3 linked regions of the Drosophila melanogaster genome follow. The protein of the gene in region 2 interacts with the protein of the main gene of each other region in a pairwise test. Each region holds a gene or a part of one and is shown on either strand. Other genes may lie near its edges.

What was found.
Region 1: the proteins of CG11286 (region 2) and Rbp6 interact in a two-hybrid assay, tested with the Drosophila melanogaster proteins (one large-scale study listed by BioGRID).
Region 3: the proteins of CG11286 (region 2) and CG15822 interact in a two-hybrid assay, tested with the Drosophila melanogaster proteins (one large-scale study listed by BioGRID).

Annotation. Positions count from the first base shown.
Region 1 is NT_037436.4:17,233,719-17,241,722, forward strand, and holds the start of Rbp6 (RNA-binding protein 6), read right to left. Parts: upstream 4,495-8,004; 5' UTR 4,114-4,494; intron 2,345-4,113; 5' UTR 1,720-2,344; coding exon 1,634-1,719; intron 1-1,633. Other genes in the region: Afg3l2 (AFG3 like matrix AAA peptidase subunit 2), read right to left, coding at 5,393-6,890, 6,945-7,340, 7,499-8,001. UniProt on the Drosophila melanogaster protein: RNA binding protein that regulates the expression of target mRNAs at the translation level. May play a role in the proliferation and maintenance of stem cells in the central nervous system.
Region 2 is NT_033777.3:7,768,865-7,776,665, reverse strand, and holds CG11286 (uncharacterized protein), read left to right. Parts: upstream 1-4,909; 5' UTR 4,910-4,965; coding exon 4,966-5,273; coding exon of another isoform or gene 5,274-5,274; exon of another isoform or gene 5,275-5,332; coding exon 5,333-5,455; intron 5,456-5,514; coding exon 5,515-5,659; 3' UTR 5,660-5,806; downstream 5,807-7,801.
Region 3 is NT_037436.4:2,159,134-2,167,137, forward strand, and holds the start of CG15822 (uncharacterized protein), read right to left. Parts: upstream 4,731-8,004; 5' UTR 4,607-4,730; exon of another isoform or gene 4,558-4,606; intron 2,797-4,557; 5' UTR 2,665-2,796; coding exon 2,498-2,664; intron 1,686-2,497; coding exon 1,490-1,685; intron 1,318-1,489; coding exon 1,204-1,317; intron 1,147-1,203; coding exon 972-1,146; intron 1-971.

The sequences.
Region 1 (8,004 bases), on a different chromosome or scaffold from region 2:
CATCTATGTGCATGTATGTATGAAGTATATGCATGAACTGCATAATTTATGGGCATTGCGTGTTCAATGGATTGCGACGGCTGTCCGGGCCATATGGCTGTACCTATGGGTTTTTTTTTCTAGATTCGCAGCGATTTTCCAATTTTGTGCTGGCTTTTTTCCCTGGGCCACTGCAATGACAAAGGGCTTATATGGCTCGAATTGGCATAGAGCAGTTGTGGAGCCCTCCTCGGCGCTTCTCATAAAACTTACCTAAATAGCCAAAATTTTTTAAAGTTCATGAAGCAGGAAAATTTCATCTATCTATCTATTCTAGTTTTAGAAATATAGTTGAAATTTTCATCATTTGAACTTCAAGCCACAACAAAATTGCCATTCACCATAAAAAAATTTAAAATAAATTGCCAACTGATATTATAATTATTTGCTTCTTATTCTCATTTTAATGAATTAAACTAATTTTTGTGAAAATGAATTTGATTTATATTGCATGCTGAACTTAAGTGGCTGACTGATAAATTATTACTTAATTTAGAGTATCAATTTTCATTGAATAGGAGCCAATTGCCAGATTCAATTTGAAAATAAAGTTTTCTGTGAAATAGTTCACCTTTTTGTGAATTTCTAATCATCATACATCTTTTTTTGGATTTCCATTCAACTGAAAATATTACATTCTATGCGAATTCGAACAAAACGACGAGAGCTCCCTATTCAGTAAATTGTTCACTTTATGGGCTGCGTCAAAAGTCCGCTCCACCACTACCTTCAATCAGTTCACTTGGCTGCCAATTACCGGATCATCCATTTGCTAGTCCGACTTTCTGACAGCCAAACTGCACCCCCGACCACCAAGGAGACTACTGCAAACCGATGCAAATTATCAGCAATGCAGCTCGCAATTAATCTACTGCATATGACACCGCAATCACAACTTAACCCATTTTGGCACAAGTATAAATTTTGAATGAGGGGCTGGGAAGCTGGAAGCTGGGGAATCGGACTGATAATAAACTGTTGCCGGAAGGATGAAAGCGAGTCGAGGGCAGCAACTGCATTGCACTAAAGCACTAAGCCGAATGGCTTTAATTGAATTTTGATGTCCTTGGCAAATTGTTTTCTAATTAGTTTCGCAGACTTGGATCCCCAGCTGGGCCATCGTCCATTTCTGGCCGCTTTCGGCCAGTTCCGGACCCAGTTGACATAGAAAACTTTCTGTCAACAACTATAACTGCCTTGACACCGCTCCCCAGGACACGCTCCATTCGCTTCCGGCGCCCTGCGCTTCAATAATGACAAACTTAAAACTTAAACAATTAATGCCACGTCCATGACCTCAAACTAAATAAAAAAGTTCTCGTCCAACTCGACAATGCGAAGTTTGAATGCCCTTTTCTCGAAAAATCTAAGTTAGGGTCTTAGGAAAATATATTTTAATTATGATTTACAGAACTGAAATATAAATTTCGCACATCCTTTTAAGGATGGTGATTTTTAGTGCTTGTAGAGCGAAAGTAATATAAATAAATCGAAGTAAATCTTTTTCTTCTCAAGTTGATTAAAATATATTCTCTACTTTCTGAGATACCCTTTCGCTAGGGTATACATGTACATATAAGAGCAGCACACTTACCCGGGATCATTGGGCACCTCCGAGGGGGAACAGGGTCCCAGCTCCACTTGCTGTTGCTGCTGCTGCTGCTCAATCTTGATGTCCATGTTGGGGGTTTTGGCTCGGGATTGAGATTGAGTTGGAGCTGGAGCTGGTGATTGGAGTTTGCAGTTGGGGCTGAGCTGAGCTGATGTGGTCGTCTGGCTGTCTATTCTATAATTGTTGCTCCAACGCCTTCTGTGCGAGCATCGAGATGCGAGGGGAGGTCGAGTGGTTCTGTGCGGCTGAGTGGCTGTGTTACTGGGTGTTATGTGTGGACGGGGGATGCTGCTACTACGAGTTGGCTAACAGAGTGTTCCCTTAATCATTGGCCACGATGGCTGCTAGTTGGCTGTTCGATTGGCTGCCGGATTCCTTGTTTTCCATTTGGCCTGGCTTTGGTTGGCTTTCCCGCTGATTTTCCACGGCTTTTCTCCTGCTCTAGTTATCGTTTTATTTAGCTTGTTAATTATAATTTGGTTACATTGCACACATTGAATCACATTTCTTGGTTGTTTTGGTTGTTTTGGTTGCTTCGTTTTGCAGGCCACTTTTGGTTTGGTTTAAATATTATTGTGTATTTCGTAACTATTATTTCGTTTGTTGTTTAGACTTTAAGTTTTAGAAACGTTGCGTTAACTTTGGTTGTTGGTTTCCCAATTGATTTGAAGGCAACATATTACTGCAAAAGATCTGTTTCGTTGTGTTTGGTGAAAATTAATTAAATTGCAATTTTAAACTTTGCCCAGGGAAACTTTTGAAAATGCAATTTTCCCCTTCACTCGCTCCCCCTCGCCACTCCTCGCTTTCCCACCCATCCGCAGCTGCTGCACCACCCCCACCCACCCCCTAAAATGCAATGATTCGCAACGAACAATCGTAAAATGCAAAAAAGTGCAACCGATGTGGGAGCGATAGAGAGAGAGAGGGAGGAAAACCGTGGAAAAGCCAGGTGAGGAACGGGTGGGAAAAGGGGGGCGGTTAAGTAACGGCTGAGTGACAATTGGGATGCGGTACTAAGACTGTAAAAGATCTTTGTTTGAAATAAATTTGACTCACTTTACACATATGGCATGAGCCATCAAATTAATTTTCTTAGAATAGGCGTCTCATAAAAAATTAAGAAAACTAAATATAAAAGGTTAAAGATCCAAATGTTTTTCAAAAATTATAAGTATACGTGTTTACTTATTGTGAGCTTGTGTAATAATTATAAAATTCCAAATATTTAGTAAAAAGCTCTCTACTAATTTCATAAATTCCCATCGTTGTTAAATAATCTGAACGATTTTTAACATTAAAAAGGTTTTAAGTGACACTTTTTTTTACGCCAGAAACACCTTGGTTTCCCGAACAATTTTTCGGAAATTCAAAAATGCTGGCATCCAAATTTTATAGCTTTGAACTTTTGCTTGTTAAAGCAATTATTTTCCGTTGCTTTCTCTCCGAAATTATTCGCTTTCCTATATTTTGTGTGTGTTCTTTTTTGCATTTTCTGTGCTTAATACGCGCCTTGATTTTTCCCACACCCACAACAGCAGTAAAAGCAACAACAAATAATAGAAAAAGACAGAGATAGATAGATAGGGAGGTGCGAAAGGGCAAGAAGAACATTGCATGCAGTGACTCCCTCAACAAAAATTACAACAACGCCAGCAACAATATAATAACGCGCAGCATGCAAGCTTTCACGAACAGACACGCACACACACAATCGTACATCAGCACACACACACCCGCACAGGGAACATGCACCGTTACAACGAGAGCAGAAGTTAACTGGCGGCAGCAACAAACACGTGACCCGACAATTGCAATTGCGACAATTGGCAGCACAAAATAAAACAAAATAAACGATAAACTAAAACAGAGCTAAGAGAATCGCCGACAGGGGGCGCTCGATTGATCAGTAATCGAAGTTACCGTTACCGATGTCAGCCATTTTATAAAAGTGATCACAACGAAGATCTCTAATAAAAGGAACGAAAATATTAATCAAATTTAAATTTTATGTAATACACGTGTTTGTTGATTGATTTTACACTAATTGATAAGAGATATTTTGCTTCCTATCTTAAAGCAGAATAAATGCAAATGGCAAAACAAATTTAAATATAATTTTCTTGACAAAATAAATAAACATTAGCATTAAATTCTCCTCCTTGTTCTGTTCATCCTAATGGTCACCATTTGTCATAAATACATAATTTTAATTTTCTAAGAAATCAAACAAGAAGCCTAAAGGAAAGTCTCAGGAAAAATAAAATCCAATAAATCAAACATGAAATCGCTAGGGATTCTCTGCCGCTCTCTTTCTATCGATCAAGTATGGATGTTGCCGTTATTTTGCCGGCCGGCAGCCATTTTGCAGGAAAGATCAACACAAACGCAATGTGTTAGTGAGTGTGAGTGAGAGGGAGGGCGGGGGTGCGAGGGAGAGGTTTGCGCTTTAACTCCTCTACTTCAGCGGTTATTGTAGTTGATTGCAATTAAAATCGAATGCCGCGCACTGTTACTCGTTTTCCCTATTTTTTGTATTTTGTATTTTATATTATATAATCGTCAAATTGCACTCCACACAGCCATCGAGGTAAACAAAATGCAAAATGCCCTCCACAGCAGGGGTTTTCCTTTCGGGCCTCTCGGTTATATTGGTTTGGTATCTTGTACGCGATTTGGTAGTTGTTTTGGTTAAAACGCACGCACTCCCACGAGCGGTACGAACAGCTCTGAAATCGGGCGACTCGAGAGTAATATAGAAACTGCAACGGTTAGTGCAACGCTGGCGTTCCGCTTTTCTCAGTGCGCGCACACGAACGCGACAACCAACAAGACGACACTGAGCGGCGAGACCCCAAAACCCAACTGACGGCCCCAAAACGACCGGCGGCAGCGACGTCGACTGCACTGCTGCACTCTCTGCCTTCGCTGCTGTTGCTGCTGTTGTTGTTGCCGCTGGTGCTGCCCCTACGGAGCTTTGCACCGGCAGAGGCGCCGACTGCGGCAGTTGCACTATTTACCGGCTGCACATGGCGCATGTACTTCAGCATCACAGCTGATAAGTGATAAGCCGCAGCGAGGAAGAGTAGCCGGCGAAAGTTTGCGGAGAAAGCTTACCGAAGAGAGCGGCACTCTCTTAAACCGCGTGCAGCTTTAAAAGCTCACACTGAAAAAAATTTTAACCTGGCACTATCAGTCAACTTAAGAATAAAGCTGGCTATCCCAAAGTTAAGAACAAATTTTGCATTCCAATGTTATCATAACATTTTATTGTATGAAATATACATAATGAAGCAATACATTGTATGTATTTTGCAACTTTTGCTGTTTTCGAAAACGGGTTTAAACCGTAAGGCAGTAACAACACTGATTCGATTATTTTTCGCCTTGATAACATCGTTTAATTTCGCTTTTCCACACTGACAGGTCATTTCCATTCTTTATTGCCATTTTGAAACTACGCATACGGGGAATTTAGTACAGGCTAGCACTTAATTGCTCAACACGGGAACAAGTTATCCATGTGGGTATCTTAAAATTATGCAAAAACAATAATGAACGCGTCGTGGAGAACTGTAACTCCAGAAGGTCTAGGAACTCCTTGAGCCCTGCCTTCTCGATCTGCCACATGTCGGGGTTTTCTCCGGTCCGCGTTTAGGGATTACAACAAAAACAAACAGATGTCGGCACCCTCGAACTACCACACCAAAACTCCCCATCCACATGAGCGAAGATCGTTGCCTAACTGCTCTGGGCAGTTACGGGCTTGGTGGGCGGCGATGATGGCGTGCTGCCAGCGTCCAGAGGCTCCGTTCGTTCCTTTTCCTTGTTCCAGCTCTTGAGGCCTTCGGGCAGAGTGGTGTCCTCCTCGAAGGAGCCGGTACCCTCGACGAACTCCTCGTAGGTTGACTTCTCTTTGAAGGGTCGTGGGCCCAGCAGCTCAATCATATCATCACGGCTGAGCACTTCGTTTTGGAGCAGTCTTTCCGCCACTTTTTGAACATTCTCCTTGTGCTTGGTCAGCAGACTAGTGGTGGCCTCGTGGGCACATTTGATAATCGACCTCACCTCGTTGTCGATCAGCTGCGCTGTGTCCTCCGAGTATGGTTTGCTGAAAACGGGATCACCGGCCTGGCCCACATCGAAGCTGACCTGCCCGACCTTCTCGTTCATGCCGAAACGCACCACCTGGGAGTAGGCAATATCGGTGATCTTCTTTAGATCATCCTGAGCACCAGTGGTAATGCGATTAAAGAACAGCTCTTCGGCCACACGTCCGCCGAGCGTCATGCACATGCGATCGAACAACTGCTCCTTGGACAGCAAGTAGTGATCCTTGGGCAGATACTGGGCGTAGCCCAGACCCTTGCCGCGTGGTATAATCGAGACCTTCAGCAGGGGATCTGCGTGCTCCAGGAACCAACCGGCCACCGCATGGCCAGCCTCGTGGTGTGCCACCGTTCGCTTTTCCTCCGGCGCCAGAACATTGGTCTTCTTCTCCATGCCAGCGATAACACGCTCAATGGCCTGCTCGAAGTGCTTGAGTACGATCGAATCCTTGGAGTCGCGGGCGGCAATCAAAGCAGCTTCGTTGCAAACATTCGCGATGTCAGCGCCTGTGAAGCCTGGTGTCAGTGCAGCCATTTTTCTGCTCAGCTCGTTCTTGTCCAGCGACGTTTTCAGGTTACCCAGATGCACCTTAAAGATGCTCGCCCTGCCCTTAATATCAGGTGCTGGTACATAAATCTGTCGATCGAAACGACCTGGTCGCATGAGAGCCTTGTCCAGAATATCAACACGATTAGTGGCGGCCAGTACGACCACATTCGTAGTGGTATTGAAGCCATCCATTTCCACCAGAAGCTGGTTAAGGGTATTCTCTTGCTCCGAGTGGCCACCGAAGGTCTTGCCACCACGTTTGCGACCCACAGCATCGATTTCGTCGATGAAGAGGATGCAGGGAGCATGCTTTCGGGCCATGGCGAACATGTCGCGGACACGAGAAGGTCCCACGCCCACAAACATCTCGAGGAACTCGGATCCCGACACGGTAATAAACGGTACATTCGCCTCGCCGGCGGTAGCCTTGGCCAGTAGCGTTTTACCCGTTCCGGGTGGGCCAGTTAGCATGGCACCCTTCGGTATCTTGGCGCCTAAATCAATATACTGCTGCGGGTTCTTCAGGAAGTTAACGAACTCCATGATTTCGATTTTGGCCTCCTCGCAACCGGCAACATCCCTGTAAAGAATATAAAAGGTATTAGGTATGTACTGTGAAGTCTCGCCAACTTACTTGAAACCCACACCAATCTCATTGGGATTGGTTAGCTTTGCGGTGGACTGCATGACGCCACCAAAAAGACCACCACCCTTGCGCCCACGGCCTCCACCCATCATATCGGCCGACTTCCGCATCATATAGACCAGAAAGCCTATGATGAGCAACGTGGGCAGCAGACCCGTCAGACTGGCGGCCTCCACCTCGTTGCGGTAGATTACGGGCACAAAGTTGATGGATTCCGTTCCCTGCTCCGTCTGGGCTGCCTCCAGGTTTCGCTCGAAGCTATCGACACTGCCGATGTTGAACCACAAGACGCCGCTGCCGCTGTTGCTGTTCTGCTGCAGACGCACTCTCACCCACTTCTTGTTAACCACCTCCAGCTTCTCCACGACGCCCTTCGACAGGTAGCTGTTTTTGGGAAATAGAGATAAATATAATAGTGAGAATTGCAGTCGTATCACAACAGGCGAAAGATCTAGATCCATGGAATTATGTATATATTCCACAGCTTCTAGTTTCACATGTTTTGATCGAACTCTTATGCAACACGCAATGCTAGAACTCACCTGTTGACGAACTCCTTCCACGAGATCTCCTTGTAGCCCATCTCGAAGAAGGCGAACGAACCCACCAGGACGACGGCTCCGATGGCACCCAGAAGGATCCACCGCTCCCTGTCCCCGCCGCCACCGTTCTCGCCCAGAGGTCGTCCGCCCAGCGAGTTGCCTCCTTTTCCTGCTGGCCCCCTCGAGCTGTTGCTGAACATGCCGAAGTTCCAGTCCGATTTCGCGTCTGTTTGGGATCTGCTGGGTTTAACTGAGGCGGGTGTCGATGTGCTGGGCTTCTCCGAGGCGGATTTGCTGGAACCCGCGGGTGGCTTCTTATCGCCGACGGATCCCTTCGGTTGGCCAGACGACTTGCCGCCGGCTTCGAAATACTTTTCAAATCCCTTCGGCGGCTTTTTGCACAGCAGCTGGATCTGTTTGACCACGTAGCGCAGCAGGGGCGACAGCTCCGTGGGCAGGATGTAAACCCCGGCGCCCGTGGCACCCATGTGTGTGCGTTGTCCCTG
Region 2 (7,801 bases):
CCTAGAAAAAAGCCCTTCGAATGCTCTGAAAATCATTTTTATTTTTCCTCCGTGCAGCCGTACATGCCAGTGGCGTCACAAAGTTGGTTAGCAAAGTCAAGTAAAGTCAAGTCAATGACTGACTGGAAATCAAATCTGCCCCATCCGAACCCGAACCCGAACCCAAACCCAGACCCAATCCCAAACCAGAACCAGAAACCCATCGAGGATGGCTGCATTGGCTGGTGCAAAAAGCCGGGGCTGATGCTCGGAAAATTTCATAAATCAAAGTGCCGTCGGAGGTGCGTGCAGCAGGACTCGAGTATCTGAAGGAGCGGCAGGATTCAATGCACGGCGCTGTAATTGCTTTATGCTCTGGAGCGTGATGCGGTCAACAACGCAACGTGAGCGAGCCATTTTGATATGGTCGTAACTCTCATCTCCTGCGACCCGCATTCTCAGCCCAACTGGTGAATTGGAAAAGCTGAAAAGTTTTATGCTATTTTTTGGTTAGCTGGCTGCTCGATGCTTTGCCTTGGGTAATGCTGTTATGCCGTGCGGGCTGGACAAAATTCCAGCTGAGCTAGAAGGCCGGGCATAAGTTGTGTCATTGGGGTCAGCAGACACGATACTTTTATCCGGAAACTTTGAGACAACTATCCATTTCCATACGACATATTCCCAAAATATTGCTGACAAAGTAGCCAAAAGATAAGTGCTTGAAGTTATAAGCTTGAGGGGACTTTACACAATACCTGGTTATCGACAAAAATAACGACTACTTCAGATTTTGTAGTTCACTTATGCTAGCAATTTGGTAGTAACAAAGCAGGTACCGCGTTATCTGCTGTTTATTCAAATTAACAATTATTCAAATTTATTTTTAGAAATAATTTATAAATAGAAGATATCCTTCGCTATCAGATACCCATTACCCAGGTGGGGTGGGGGGGAGACATAATATTTTGAATAACGATTGAAAGGTATGTTTAATCCCACATAAAAACAAAATAAATTAAAACAATACATAACTTTTTGCTTTTTTAATGATACAATTATATTATCAAGACATTATGATGTTTCCTTGCGTTGCAAATATTCACGACATGTTCCACATGTTCTTCTGCGAGCTGCTATTACAAAATTACCCTTGGCAGAAAACTTTAAAAATTGCATGGTAGCGAGTGATAAATTATGCTGTCCCCATCACACTCTGCGTTATGTTTTATGCGGCCCCTAAAAAATGATGTATATGTGGATGATAAAAAGTAGATTGCAAAACATCAAGCGAAACACCTTTCGTCCAGAGTGCATCGCACTCGAATGTCAAAGCTAATAAGCAGCTTCAGTGGAAATATTTTTCCCGGGGGAAAACTCCGTCGCCGTCCTTTTTGCCTTTTTGCCGGCTGTTCTATTTCGTGGCAGATTTATGGGTAAGTATAAAGCAGAGGAGATGACGTTGAGGCTTGGCAGGTGTGAAAGTTTGGTGCCCACATGTGGGTGTAGCTCCCCGTTTTCGCCTTTTCAGTGTTGCAGGATTATTAAGACAACAAAAAGCTGCATACTTTGCGAGTGGCTCTAATTAATGAAAGACTTTGCCGTTACCCTTCTGCCACTGTCAATGCATAAAGAAATTTTGCTAATTAAAAATAATCGCAATAGCAGGGCTGCTCTGCAACTTTGTCTTTGCCTCAGTGGGCCAACCCCTTATGCTTCTCCTATTCTGCCCAGGGGAAAATTTCCGAACTGGTCGGCCATTTCTTGTGATTATTTTAACAACTTGGCCATGTTGCTGCACTCACTAAGGAACCTAAGAACCATTTGCACCATGGACACTTGGAAAAAATGTAGTAAATATTTTTAACCGAGCATTTTGTCTCCAGGGACTCTTTTTTACTCGTAGTCTATTAGTCTATTAAGTCAATTAAAGTTTAGTAATGTACTTTGTTAAGTCACCTTAGCTACCTACATACAAACATTTTATAAATTTCTATTCCTGCTTTGTTTCTCAGTTTCTCAGTTTTTCAGTTTGAGGTTTTTTTTTAATCCCGGAAGGATTACTTCGTATTTCCAATTTAAGTAGACAAACTTTTTTCTCTCTGCATAAGTCGTAGAAAATGCTCGCGGGCTGCAAGTAATTGTCTCTGGCTCGTTGCTTTGGATTTGGATGCGGATTTGGCGGCTTTGGCTGGCAACATCATTAAATGTGTACATAATGGAATTGCTGTGATTTGTTCCAAGCGGAAGATTTATTATCGCCCAGCCATTTTCCAGGCGAAAAAATCGGCATTATGTTCCGCATGCCTGGTGACAAAGTGCAGCCAGACGACGGCTTTCATTTTCTGTTTCTGCACAGCAATCGGGTCGTTTACATAAACACTTTGGAAATTTATTGCTCTTGGTTGGCGTGTGTGTCTGTCAATGGCAAAAGTTTGTGCATTTCATTTGTGCAAAATTTGCTTACAACTCAAATTGAATTAACCTGATGACTCAGTGGAATGTGGGGCGGTGTTCCAACGAATGTTTTCGACCCAATTCCAGCCGATTCCTTAGAACTCATAGCGGCGAAATCTTCGGCTTATAGAAATCCTCATCCGAAACGCCATTGTCGTATATAGTTGTCGTGACAGTTGAGCCATATGCCAACTCATTTGCATTGAAAGTTTTTCCCTCTCACAAGTTTTGCAGTGAAACATATGCTCGAAACCCTATTAGGTCTTCATCAAATTAAAATATGTCGTCCTCGAGGAGAATAATGCTCGGAGCCATGGCTGAAATTAATTGCCTGCAAAACTATACAGAAGTCATCCTGGGACTTCCTCCACTGGAGAAGAAGGTGCACAATTTCGCAGTCATCAAATAAATTAAAACTTGACCATGGACCCACTAACAATGAAGGAAGCAGCAAAGTCTCTAAAGTCTCAGTTGAGTTGCTCAAACATCTGTGCAAAAATGTGTGTGGGCTTGACAGAGATTATGTCTGGATTGCTGAATTTTGGGGACACTGGAGCGAGGGCTTGAAATGAAAATGAATTTGTGACAATATGAAATACTTGTGCATAAGTGAAATTGTTTCATTCTGCCGGGGCGAAGTCCGCCGGCAACCCAGTAAAATAATTGCCCAATAAACAAATGTTTTTGAAAATATGGTCCGAGTGCTCAGCAAACTTATTTCCGTAATGGACTCGGCATCAGGCCCAAAATCAATTTTCATGTCTGGTTCAATGTCATTTCGAAGTGGCGTACAATTACACCCGTAATCCCCTAGCATATGGCAGTAAATCTTGTTGTTTACACTCTCGTTGACCATCGACCATTGTCAATGTTTATTGTTTATTGTTTAACGCTTTTTCTGAATGACGTTTATATTTATATTTATATTAATATTATCAATGGCGGTGAACACATTCTATTAAATGAAATCCGCTATCTTTAAATGCAGTTTGTGGGAATTAGTAGCAGATTGTGTTAGTTTGTGTGCCCAGATTTGACCAACCACTCTGTTATTTGGCCATTTCCCCATTGGCAGATTGAGTTTGCATTTAATACCTTATACGTGATCCATCTGGTAATTAATGTCCCTCGTAGGCCGGTCGGTGAAATAAATTGGATTTGTTGTTAACATTTTAGTCACTGTTTTGTCATTACGCGCTGTGGGAAAGCTGCTGTCAATTTTGTGGCGACCAAAATGACGGTTGGCCAAAAGGCCAAGGGAAAACATCCACAAATTGATGAGATGAGCACTTTAAAGGGAAGTCGACCTGTCTCGGCATTAATAATCCCAGTGCGTGATCAAACTTCAGTCAGCCAATTGCTGGCTACTTATGCCCATAAATAGTTCATTGCATTTCCATTAGGCACTTTGCGGCAATCCGGACGACTGTTCGTTGACCTAATGCGAGCAATTCATTATCTGCAATTAGAGTTCAATTCACAGGCTCTGCCTGGCCAAAGTTCAAGGATCGGCTAGGCCGGCCTCTTGAGGCCATAACACATCATTAATGGTCTCTGCGGCCGGTTGCCAAAGAAAAGTGTAACAATAATGGGCTCGTTTGTTTTCATTGCACACGTGCCGGAGCCCCGACTTTGGTCAAATGTGCTCTTAATAGACCCAGCGTTTTGGGCCATGTTTTTGCTGTGCAAACATTGGCCAACTCTCCTGTCGGCGGCAGCTCCTATTCCCCCTTCAGTGGGCCACTCTTGTGGTCCGGCTGATGGCTCTGTTCCGTCAACTCGGGCGGTTCAAAAAATGAAATTAAATGCGCGAATGCATGTTTAATGGCGCGAAAATGTGTGGAATCTTTTTGAGAATAATTTTCGACCACACCTGGATAATGGGTGCAAATGTGGGTAGATTAGCAGTCGCACTACTCCTCATAGATTATTAGGAGGGACCATTATTAAGGGTACAAATAAGTCAATGAAAGTTCGAACAGGGCCCTGTTAGTTTTTCATTTTTTTAGGGACATCATAATTACAAAGGCTATCCAATCGCATTGAGAACTTTCGAGTTCGCAACTCTATTTCGGGCTCACTTGCAAAGTTTTTTTTACAATGGATATCCTTTAGCATAATTGCATGCATATTGCCTGCAATAATTGCATGTGATATTATTACAGAGATTCCTTTTTTGGTTTTTATTCCACGCCACTTTGAACCAGCCTGATTGTTGAATTAAAAAATTAATGAATGATTTTTGAAATGCCAATGTGAATGGCCGTGTAAATAAAATACAGCAGCCTGACCCCTTTCCATATATCGTCTGATGAATCCTCATGATGTTCTCGGCTGTTTCCATGTATATTTATAAACACCAGCGGCTTAAAACAATAATTCCCCAAGGACTCAGATGTTGTTGACGGTGACAACTATGTGGCGTATTTATTAAAGCGTTAATTGTCGAATCAAAGTAGTCACCGCATAAATAAGCCATTTAATATATCTCAAAAATCTCCAGTTTCCCAAGAGCAGTATCAAATTTTCAACATGTCCGCGACGAGCCTTGTAACCATTAAGTCGATCCCCTCAGCGGGAGATGTCCTGCGGGGTAAAAATGTACCAGTTCACCGCCTCAACGCGAAGTTTGTGGCCAAGGCCCAGGAGAAGGCTAAGAAAGTGGAGGAATTCCTGACTAGGACGAAGACCACTTCGTTGGTTTCCTTGTCAGGACTTGCTTCCCGATATGAGTTCCATCGTCTCCAGGAGCTCGACGAGTGGTATGAGCCAAGGATCAAGTTCCACGACGAGGCCGATGCCAGTTTGCATCCCAGCTACGATATAAAGCACTTTCAGTAGTCAGTTAAGAAAGAACTTGCTGAGTTACTTAGGTTTCCTGACACACCATTATTTCCAGCGATCTTAATTGCTATGTGCGGTATCTGGACTCCAAAGCGAAATATGATAGGCAGTTCCTTCACGAAATGGAGCACATTATTGCCAATCAACGCAATATCTGCGACCAGTTTTTCCTGAAGAAGTAAGCTAAAAGTTAGAAATGATAACATAAATTAACCGGGACTTTCGTGGCTTTTCTAGAATCCTGTGCTATAAAACAATGTGGCCCCCACTGCATACAAAGAGGGAACTGAATAACTTTGTCTCAAAATTCTTTCAACTGCCTCCTAAGGAAAAACGTCGCGTCGAGTATCTGTTGAAAACGGATTTAAGTCTGGGTTGCTAAAACTGATCCAATTGCAAAGTAAATGAGCCTTTTTATTCCACTTGGAAATGGTTTAATTAGCTCATTTAATTTTGCAATTATTCTCTGCAAAACTGATAAAATTACCTTATGGAAAATTGTACAGCCAATAAATTTAATTATGCAATTAAAGCCTTTTTTATAATTTCGCTGCAAAGTTAGTGAGCTAACAAATTGGATGGCTGGCGTAAGAACTGTAAGAAAATGTATTTTATGATTACTTGTTAAATTTTAATAGGATCTCGTTTACAAAAAGGTTAGTCAATCGGACAGCAACTAAATAGTTTTGAATAAAATCCGCATTTGTTTAATTATTCCACTAAATTACATTTAAACAAACTGCCGTTTGTGCATATTAAATATTTGAGCTGCGCTCATAAATAAATTCAAACAATGAATTATTATATTGTTAAACTGTGTAACTATGTGAGCAGATTCATGTTTAAAAGCAATGCAATTGTTTCGACCTCTTTTTACAAGTTACCGATAAGGGATAAATGTGTGCGTGTGTGATTGTATGCGTTTGTGATTGTGTGCGTTGACAGGAAGTGCGTCATTTGTCAAATGCTATTTTATGACCATTTTTTAGCCGTTCAGTCGAGTTTTGTTTGCACCGTGTATACACCTGAAAAAGAGCAAATTTACAAATGTTTACGCAGTGAACAATGACCAGAAACGCCATGTGAATTTGCTCTTTAATTCAGTTATGCCCTTGGCTGAGTTTCTTCTTTAAAATTAATCAAATAGAGTTTCGATTTATTGTTTGGTTTTCGCATAGGCCACAAAAAATAAACAACCATGAATAACTGGTCAGCCGAGGGTAATTTGCAAAGGTTTCACAATTTGAAATCGGAGCTGTGAATGCATTCAGGCCTGTCATTAAATCAAATATTTGTTTTCAATGTGACTTATCAATTTACAGGCATTAGACACAAGGATACAGGGATTTAATCATTTTGCAAGAATTTAGCTCAGGCTAAGCAAACTAGGAATATTTTCCGCTCCAATTCACGCATCACCCGATATTAAATTAAAAACTGAAGAACATCCTTGCGTCCTTTTCGGCGCCCCCAACACTTGGAAACTGTCATCCCATAGACGCTAATTCATGCTCGAGTGGGCTTTCAACCTCGATGGCCAACTTCAATTAATGCCAAAGTTCCAGCGATTTTAAAGTCGGTTCCGGGAAGAAAGCCCTCGCAAGGGCTAAGGGTAAAAAAAATCACTGTGAAGCTCTGGCATCCGCAGCTCACAGCTATAAATTATAATTTCCGCATGCTGAGCCGCCCCAGCCCCGTTTACGCCGCCATTCCATATACCCAATGGCCTGACCATCGTCCGGTCAGTCCTGGTTTTATGATGCTTATGGAAAAAATTCCTGCCACTGCATGGCTGCAAGGTGTGCGCCAATTTCCGGCACATGTGAGCGTGTCCGTATCCGTGTCCGTGTCTGCTCGCTCCCTCTCTTTTTGATACGTATAATTTTAAAAATGTTTGGCCGACACCCCTGTCCGTGCCCATACATACATATGTTGCCAGAATAGCCGGCAGAAAAAATTATAATTAATAGTGCTCGAAAAGAGTGTCGGAAAAAGACATAAAAGGGACAAACTTATGCATAACTTAAAGTCGCAGGCTGCCCACATCGTAAAGCAATGGATTTATATTACCCATACGCACTGTGTAACCAGTGGCTCAATGGGATTTGGACCACACACTCGGTTAAATGTAATGCTTACTGCTCCGACACAGCGGTGCGCTCAGTAGAGTTTTATTATTATTATCCGACCCAATATATATATATATGGATTATACATTTCACGTTAATACATATTTCGTATTTTGTCAAATCAATACAAGTAGATGAGTATTAAACGAAGGGGATTGTTTAATATTCATTGATTACTCCAAGAGAAATGCGTATTCCGTAAATCATACCAAATGGATAGCCATTTGTTTTTATTCATTGAACATGATCGACATTAAGCACGCCCAAAGGATAAGCATTAGCATATTTATCACGCATACGCACTGGGTAACCCTCGTTTGAGTAAACATTGAACTTAAACAAGGTGTAAATCGCGACTCCATCACCGCAACCTTTCAGACTTCGTGTCCCGCGTT
Region 3 (8,004 bases), on a different chromosome or scaffold from region 2:
ATAAAATAAATATTTCCTTAGAATTTTAGAACATCAATCATCGTATTTCTCGGAGTGTATTTTTGGGCTTTCATTGCGCGGGGATCGGATCTAGCGCTATTCACACATCCACAAAAGTGAAAACTCACGCCCGGAGTGGTTTTTTAATCCCAGTCTAGCTCTTTGGACTGTGGCATGTGCCACCATTTCGATGCGCATCACCGATTTTTGTGGCTGTAAGTGAAAGGTCACGATTGTTGCTGTTGCTTTGGTTGTCGTTTTGCCAAACCCACGCACTCAAACCAGAACTCTTCCGAATTTGAAGTCGTTGTTCAAAAATTGAAGTGTGAACACTGTGAAACACGGTTTGCTCAGGGCACAATGATCCCCAACCGCAAATGATTCTCGAAAATAACTTAATGAAGCCAGAAAAGTATTTGATTCTTAGCTGTGGCTTTCATAAATTCTGAATTAATATGTGGAATTCATGAAGTCATGATTGTTAAAGTCTTACGAAAATTTTGATAATATTCGGGATGTCTGCCATTTCCAATCAATCAATCTTTCTAATTTCACAAACAATTCTCAATTGTCAAATCATAGCCAAGTCTATTCAACATCGTATGGAACTGTAGATTTTAAAATTATCTTATCAAAAGACGCATTTCTACCTAAAAGACCTTCTGTAGGCCTCAGTATCCAAGCTCAATGTTATTCAGTGCCGTTAAAATCAACCCACAATAAAAATCGACAACAAACGGCGCGAAAAACGAGTTTGCCAAACGTGGCGCATTTCTAATTGAAAACACACACAAAATTCAATGATTTACTTGTCACATGTTGTGTGTCTTTCTTTCCGTCTCTGTCTGTCTCACTTAACTCGTTTGCTTCGAGGGCAAACCGAATTATGTTAATTGCTCGCGGGGCAAACAAAAAACGACTAGCGAACAGACCAAAAAAAACAAAAGACTCAAGCAACGAACTCGACTCACCCAAGTCGATGGCGGTCTCTATGTCGTTTTGCACACCGGCATGCATCTGGGCGCACTTCTTCAGCTCCACATCCGCTTCCGCCGGCCGCAGAGACTTGTGCTCCCGCAGAAGAGCCAACAGTTTCTCCATCGAAGCCAAAGTCTGCACATGCGACTTGGTGAACTCGTCGATGGACTGCGTAAATATAGCCATTATGTGCCGTTCGAACGGTACAGAAATTGGGGCACTTACCTTGCGCTGCTGCAGCCACAGATCGTAGTTGAACTGCAAGGTGCCGCCCAGTTCCTCGGGCAGGTTCTGCGGCTCTATGAACTTGAACAGCCTCGCCTTCGACAGCACCAGGGGCTATTAAGAGAGCACAGTGAGAAATTAATGAGTTCAATGTGGAAATTCTAATTACTATGTTGCAGTTTATGGTTATGATATATTTTATTAGGAACTAAATCGATTTAATGGGAAGCTATTTAAATCTTTAATTCACTTCTTGAGTTGTGTCCAACCTAAGCTATTAGCTTACCTCTCCCTTGACCTGGGACTTGGTGCACGGCTCCACATGCTTCTCCCAGAAGCCCTCCGCCCTGACTAGATACAGATCCACATTGATGTCGCCCCCGAAGAGGGCGTAAATCTGTCGCACCTGCTGCCGTGATATCCGCGAACTGCTCTCCTGGGCATTGACCACCACACTCACGCCATTCTGCAACACCGAAGCGCTGAAAGAGATTAATGTCAAGTTGGTTAATCGGTTTGGGACTGGAGGAAAGCGTCTTTAAGCGCTTCATTAGCTTGCCAGTTAGGATTTGGCTTTAATCAGACACTCTTTTTTCAGGGGAACTGCCAGTTGATTGATCACAATCAATATATCCATAATTCATGTGGCTTCTTCCCTGTATTTAAAAGATTGTTTGATGCCTACCTCGTAAACTTAAACAATTTGCTTGTTGTGCCAATAAATAAACAAACTTAAATGGGAAATAACAAAAGAAGGGCGTAAAGCCCATAGGTAGTTGTTTAAATAGGTTACGAACGGTATATAATTTTCATAAATTATCTTAAGGTTTTTAAGAGGGTACATTTATTGCTACTACTATTTTTACATATGTTGCTTGTAAAGTGTGTTTATAAAATGAAAGTGTGCTTAAACTGACCGAACTTTGTATCAAGTTACTCTGAAGTAATATATGTAAGTGGATATTAACAATGTTTTCCATTCAAGACAAATCATCTGACTTCAGAAACTTTAAATTATTTAGTTGGCTTTAAATATCTGACACTTAGCATATAAATAACCAGATTTTGTTAGGTGTTTTCCGCTTTTCGAGACCCGTTTTAAGACCCCTCCCAGAGAGCCGTGTCTAATGAAAAGTAATGCATTAAAGACGACAAAAAATGAACCTTCATCATCTGCGGGCTATTTGCATATTTCGGCCATATGCTAATGAATCGTCGGCATTTCCACTGCCGGTTTCTAAAGTTTCTGTGCCTAATGGCAAATGCCTAATACCACTTAATTCCCGATTCTCACCTGAGAGACCGCTTCAGATAGTCCAGAGTCACCTGCAGATAGCGGCGATTCCACAGCTGCAGATCGTTGAATGCGTTGACAACGAAGACGATGCGCTTCTGGCGATCGAATCCGCCGGATAAGTAGGCACTCCGCGTCTGCAGGGCGTTCAGCACGTCCTCCTCCATCTATAGGGAGTTTAATGATGGGATCGCGATGACGATGCGGCTTTTCTAAATGCTAATTGAGCCTCTTGTCGCCGCGAACATTTTGCTGCTGAGACAACGCGGTATTAGGATTTTCTTTTTGTTTGCAGTTGGCTGTTTGGAAAAGCTTGAAAATTAATACAAGTCACAGTTATGCGAGTTGTTTTCGTTTCTGTGGCTGCTGCTGCTGTTTTTCTTGCCGCTGCACAATGCTGCACATTTCCAAATGCCGCGAGACTTTGTTGGGGAACACGTTTGACAAGTTGCAGCCTGAAACTTTGGTTGCCTTTACTTTACTTTAGTCTGGTACACTGAGGAAAATGCTCATACCCTTAAAACGATAGTTTGGCTTAAATAGCTGCAGGCCATTTAAACGAAGCAACCAGCGCTTACTTCATTTAACTACGAATGGCATTATTGTAAAATACTTTTACGATCTACTCAATTTCTCTCAGTGCCTAGCTAGTCTCTCCACATGATTTTCACTGTTTTCATGTTAGTTTAGGAGTTTTTTGTTGGCTTTTTCAGTTTGGGTCTCTCTGGCCTAATGGAAAAATTCCATTTTTGCGCATGAGTATTTTGACACAAATTGGAGTTTTAGCTCTTTTCCATGCCGGCCAGCAGCAGCAGTTTGAACTTAATTTGTCGGTTGATAAGGGGCGCGGCAGACCCAAACGCTATATGGTATGTACAATATATGCTACATAGAGGAGGAAAAGAGCCAAGTAATTCTTTCACTTGTGAGCCAGAAGTACGTGCCAGAAATCCTGTTTGCTGCCAGTCTATCTTACAGTTATGCGTAAGTGGTCGATGCCTCTTTTCCTGTCTCTCAGTCAGCCCCATCTTGCTCCGCTTTTTCTTTACTCTACCAAAGAGTATTCGGAGATCTGCTTAACTCTTGTCTTGATATATATATGTTTTGATAGAAATTATAGATTAGATTAGTTATATAAGACCAGCTTTGCTATTATAGAAAGTGACATTTGCAGCAGGCACTTATTTAAATTATGGTATATTTTTGATTTTCTGCCTTATAAAGTGTATTTAAAACCCGGTACTGCAGGCCCAACTTCCTTTCCCCTTTTTTATGTTTTATGTTCTATGTTCTATGCTAACCAATTTGCACTACTTGGCTTTACTGCGAGTTTTTGATGGCAGGAGCGAGAGCAACCTGTTTCTTTGGCCGCTTTTGGGAAGCTGTAATAATTGTCATAGCCTAGCGGTCGGTTGGCCCCCTTCCAAAAACCCCTTCTCAATGCACTTTACTACGCCCCTTCCGCATTGGATTTCAATTAATGGCAGAGGACAGGTAAAAAAAAAACAACCTTGCAGCAGCAACTCTGGGATGGGGCATACATATTTCTGGTTTCAAATGTCAGTACGAAAAATACTTGCAAATATGAGCAGAGTTATGTCTATATTTTTATATCCCACTGAGCTCAGCGAAAAACTCACGAAAAGGGTAGCTGAAAATTGAGAACCCCGCGGGGCTCGTAATGCCTCGAATCTTTGGAATCGGGCGCACCTTTCGGCCTAAAAAAAGAAAAAATCGCTTCCAAAATAGATGGCAGCAACAAAAACCGTTTGAGCTGCTGTGTTGTTTTCTTTCAATTTCGTTAAACTTTCTTGAGAACCTTTTTTGGGTTTTGTTTTCCTCGGCTGGGCTTTTATTTTTTTGTTTTATGATATGGCGATAAGATCTATGCCAACGACGATGGGCTGTTAAATTAATTGAAAAGTTCAGCGGCAACAGCAACGGAACTCATTAGCATTTCTCCACACAAAATTTGTTTAACCAGCTGACAAATGTGTTCAGCTGTTTCGAAATGAGTTTTTAGTTCATTTTGCGTGTTGTTCCATGTGAAGTAACTCGACTTGGTTTTAACATGCAGAGCGGCGACTCCTTATCGTTTTGGTGTCTTACTTCTCAGTATTTCGAAACGAATTCAGTTCTTATCGCTCTTTTCGACACCAGAATAAAACCGACAAGACACCGATATCGTTCATCCGCCCCGTCCGCCCGCGTGGAATTCTCGCGCTCAACTGAAAGTTTCCAAACTTTGTTTCGATCTTAGCCACGATCGGTGCCAACCTGGTTTTTCGGTTCGAGTTGCGGCTCGAAGTGCGTTCGAGTTGCAGTTGCTTGCATGTCAGCTGTTTTTTGTTGCATTTCAATTGATCGTGAACTGTATGTAGTATTTCGTATTTTCATTTTTTACTGCGCTGGCTGATGATTACCCGCACGTTTTGCCCTTTTTAGGGGGGCGCCTTTGAAAACCGGTTGGGATTTCTTTTCTTCTTCCAAGTGCAAAATTAAAACAAAACACGCGTTTTGTCCGCCAATGGAGATATCGAAGATTCTGTGGAACACTTTTTTTTATTTTCATTGCTTCCACTTCTTTTCTACTTTTATGGGTATGATGAACTTGGCAAGAGAGTTTTATATGTGGGAATTCAATTAAATGGATGTTCATTTGGAAAGTTTATTCAAATACGAGTTCTAAAGTTGATAAGTTGTGATTTTTATTCCTAATTAATTCACTAATATCTGTCTCTGTTTTTTAGGGTATTATCCGTTCGATTCAGTTATGTTTTCTTCCTCACGCACTCGTTTTGTTGTTTTATTCATGTATCCCTTGACGTGGGAACTTTTAATTGTGTGTGCTGAGAGTTTTCAGACAATGCCACGAATTGTTGTCCACTTCAATATCTTCCGCCTCGCCAAGGAAAAGTACTGGAAAGTGCAGAAGGATATTTAGTATGCTTCCTTGACAGCACAAATATCAAAGATTTATTTCTCTTTGCGTGATAAATGAAAAAAAGGAGCAGTCCAGAACCGTTTTAGGCTTCACTCGTTTATGAAAGGGGACAAAAACAAACATCTCCACCAGAAAAGGGTCACTCCCTGGAAAAATGGTCTAGGGAAGGGGTTCTGTGGGTTACGACCCTTATAAACATGTCAATCACAAGTAAATTGTTGCAGATTTAATGGTCGTCCAAGGAATGTGGGTCTGGCAATAGGAATCCCACCCGACAGCCTGGACTCACTGAAATGCAAACGGATTTCCACTGCTGTGTCAGCAGCGTCGGAAAACGGCGAGAAATACAGTGAAGCTTCGAAAGATGACTTAAAAGTTAACGAACAAGAAAAAAAAACATTTTTAATGTAACAAAAAAATTCATTATTCTAGTTACTCTTATTTGTATCAGCATTTGGAATTTTAGTATCGATCTTGTTTTCCGACAGCACACTGTACCAAATTGCGTCCGCCATAGATTTTGCTTTCCATTTCACTGACTTCCATGAATTTATAGGCAATCTTCGAAGGCCTAGGCGCGATGGTTTTGTTTAATGAAACTTAAAGTGCGTGCCAGAGTGCCCGGGCACGTATCCTTGAGCTCCTCGAGGGATCCGGATCCCTGGGGCTGAGGAGAACGGAACTGGAAGCTGATGAAGTCGGGGCTGCACTCAATTGCAATAGCCGACCGCAAAATGGCGTCGAAAGGACTTCCGTTCGAGCAAAAAACAAGAAGTCATGCAACTGGGCATCATCGGACGTGAAAAGCTGCTGTTTTCCTTTTTATTTTTGTTTTTGTTAATGTTACTGGTGGAGAACGAGGAATGGATCCCTTCCCACCGACAGCTTTAACGGCTATTAGAAAATTGCGAAAATTGCGCACACGTTTTGGCTGAGAAAAGCGGGAACGTTGCATGTGGCAGGGCAATCGAGTGCAGTTTGTGGCCCCAGATTTATTGCACCGAGCTGGAAATATTCGAGATGGCCGGCTCGCATTTTAAACAGTTTTCGTTAAGTTTGGTTTATTAAGCCCCACGCCAGGCCTCTGCATAATTCATTCGGTTTAAGGGTTTTCCACCAATTCATTTCAATCAGGCCGAGAGAGCAGAGCAGTTCTCGGCAGTCCGTGGCTCGTTTTAAATCATTTAGTGTGGTAGTTCTGGCCGTTTTATGGGCCCGTCTAAAGGAGTGCCAGGTGATGTTTATTGGACGTATGCATGCCGCATCGAAAGTGCTCCAGAATCGCTTTAAAGTTTGCCGGCAAAATTTACGGACTTCACCTTGAACACTTTTCCCGTTTGCGGTAAAAGTTTATGGTTGGTAAATCTTATTTAACTAGGTTTTCTCATCCAACTGTATTTCATATTTTTTTGCCGTTCTATTTTTTTGTAAATTACCTCATTCATTGAATTTTATACAGGAGCTTTTGAGAATATATTTAGCTCAAAACATGCAACGCAAATGGGGAATAATATTTCTTGCGACTTTTTGCAATTAACACCGAGTTTGATTTAAGGTATGCGCAAGTTTCCTGGCTGAATTCCCGTAAATCTTAATTTCACAGAAACGTTAATCCAGTGAAAACGGTGGCTTTCTTTCACTTTCATTAAGTGCCGCCCAAGGTTGCCCCGGCGAATTCATCAACTTTCCCGGCCATTAGCCAGGAAAACCCGAAACCAAAACACCAACAGATCCGTCGTTCCTCAAACGATTTCCTTAACCTCTTTAAGGCTGCTTAACCCAATATCACACCAAAAGAAATTGTTGCTGAAATCGGAGGCGGAAAGCGTTCGAGTTGCTGCTCACCCATTCAAAGGAAATTGGAGTGCACACGAGTCGGGCAGCTTGGCAGCCAGGCAGCCAGGCAGTCGGGATTCGTCGACCAACCCACCTTAATTTGCAAATCTAGGCATATGCCGTAAAGGTTTTATGGCTTCCACCTTCGAAGCGCCAAAAAATGAATGTGGGAACCCCGTGGCGTCTCTGATTACAGGCGAAATATGCCACGTGTATGCGGTACGCATATGTGTGGGGTGCAGTTTTGATTCTCTGAAATTGCAAAATCGATAGTGTGTAAGGAGGGAATTTTCTTGTATTTTCTGGACTTTTCGCTCTAAAGTTAATTGATTGAATTAGCCAGCCAAGCAATGACACAAAATGGAGCTACTTAATATGGGCCAATCAAAACAAATGACAAGAAAATTATGCGATACCAATGTTTAAAATTCAACAACTTCCTGGGTAACAACAAAGTGTTTAAATTAATAAATGCCACTCCGGTTTCCACACCCACTTAATAATCGCATTTTCCCGCATTTCGTTACTAGGCGTCGCCCTAAAGGTAGGCAACGAAAATCCACTCCGCCTGCTGGAAAATACATTTTCAATGAAGCAGTCTACTTTTCCAATGACAAAAAAGTTTCGCTGGAATTTTTGGAATTTAATTTGCATACATTTGGTTGGCTGATTACAAGCTATAGCTCGGATTCTGAACTATTTAAGCTTGCCATACTTTTGAGTTCCA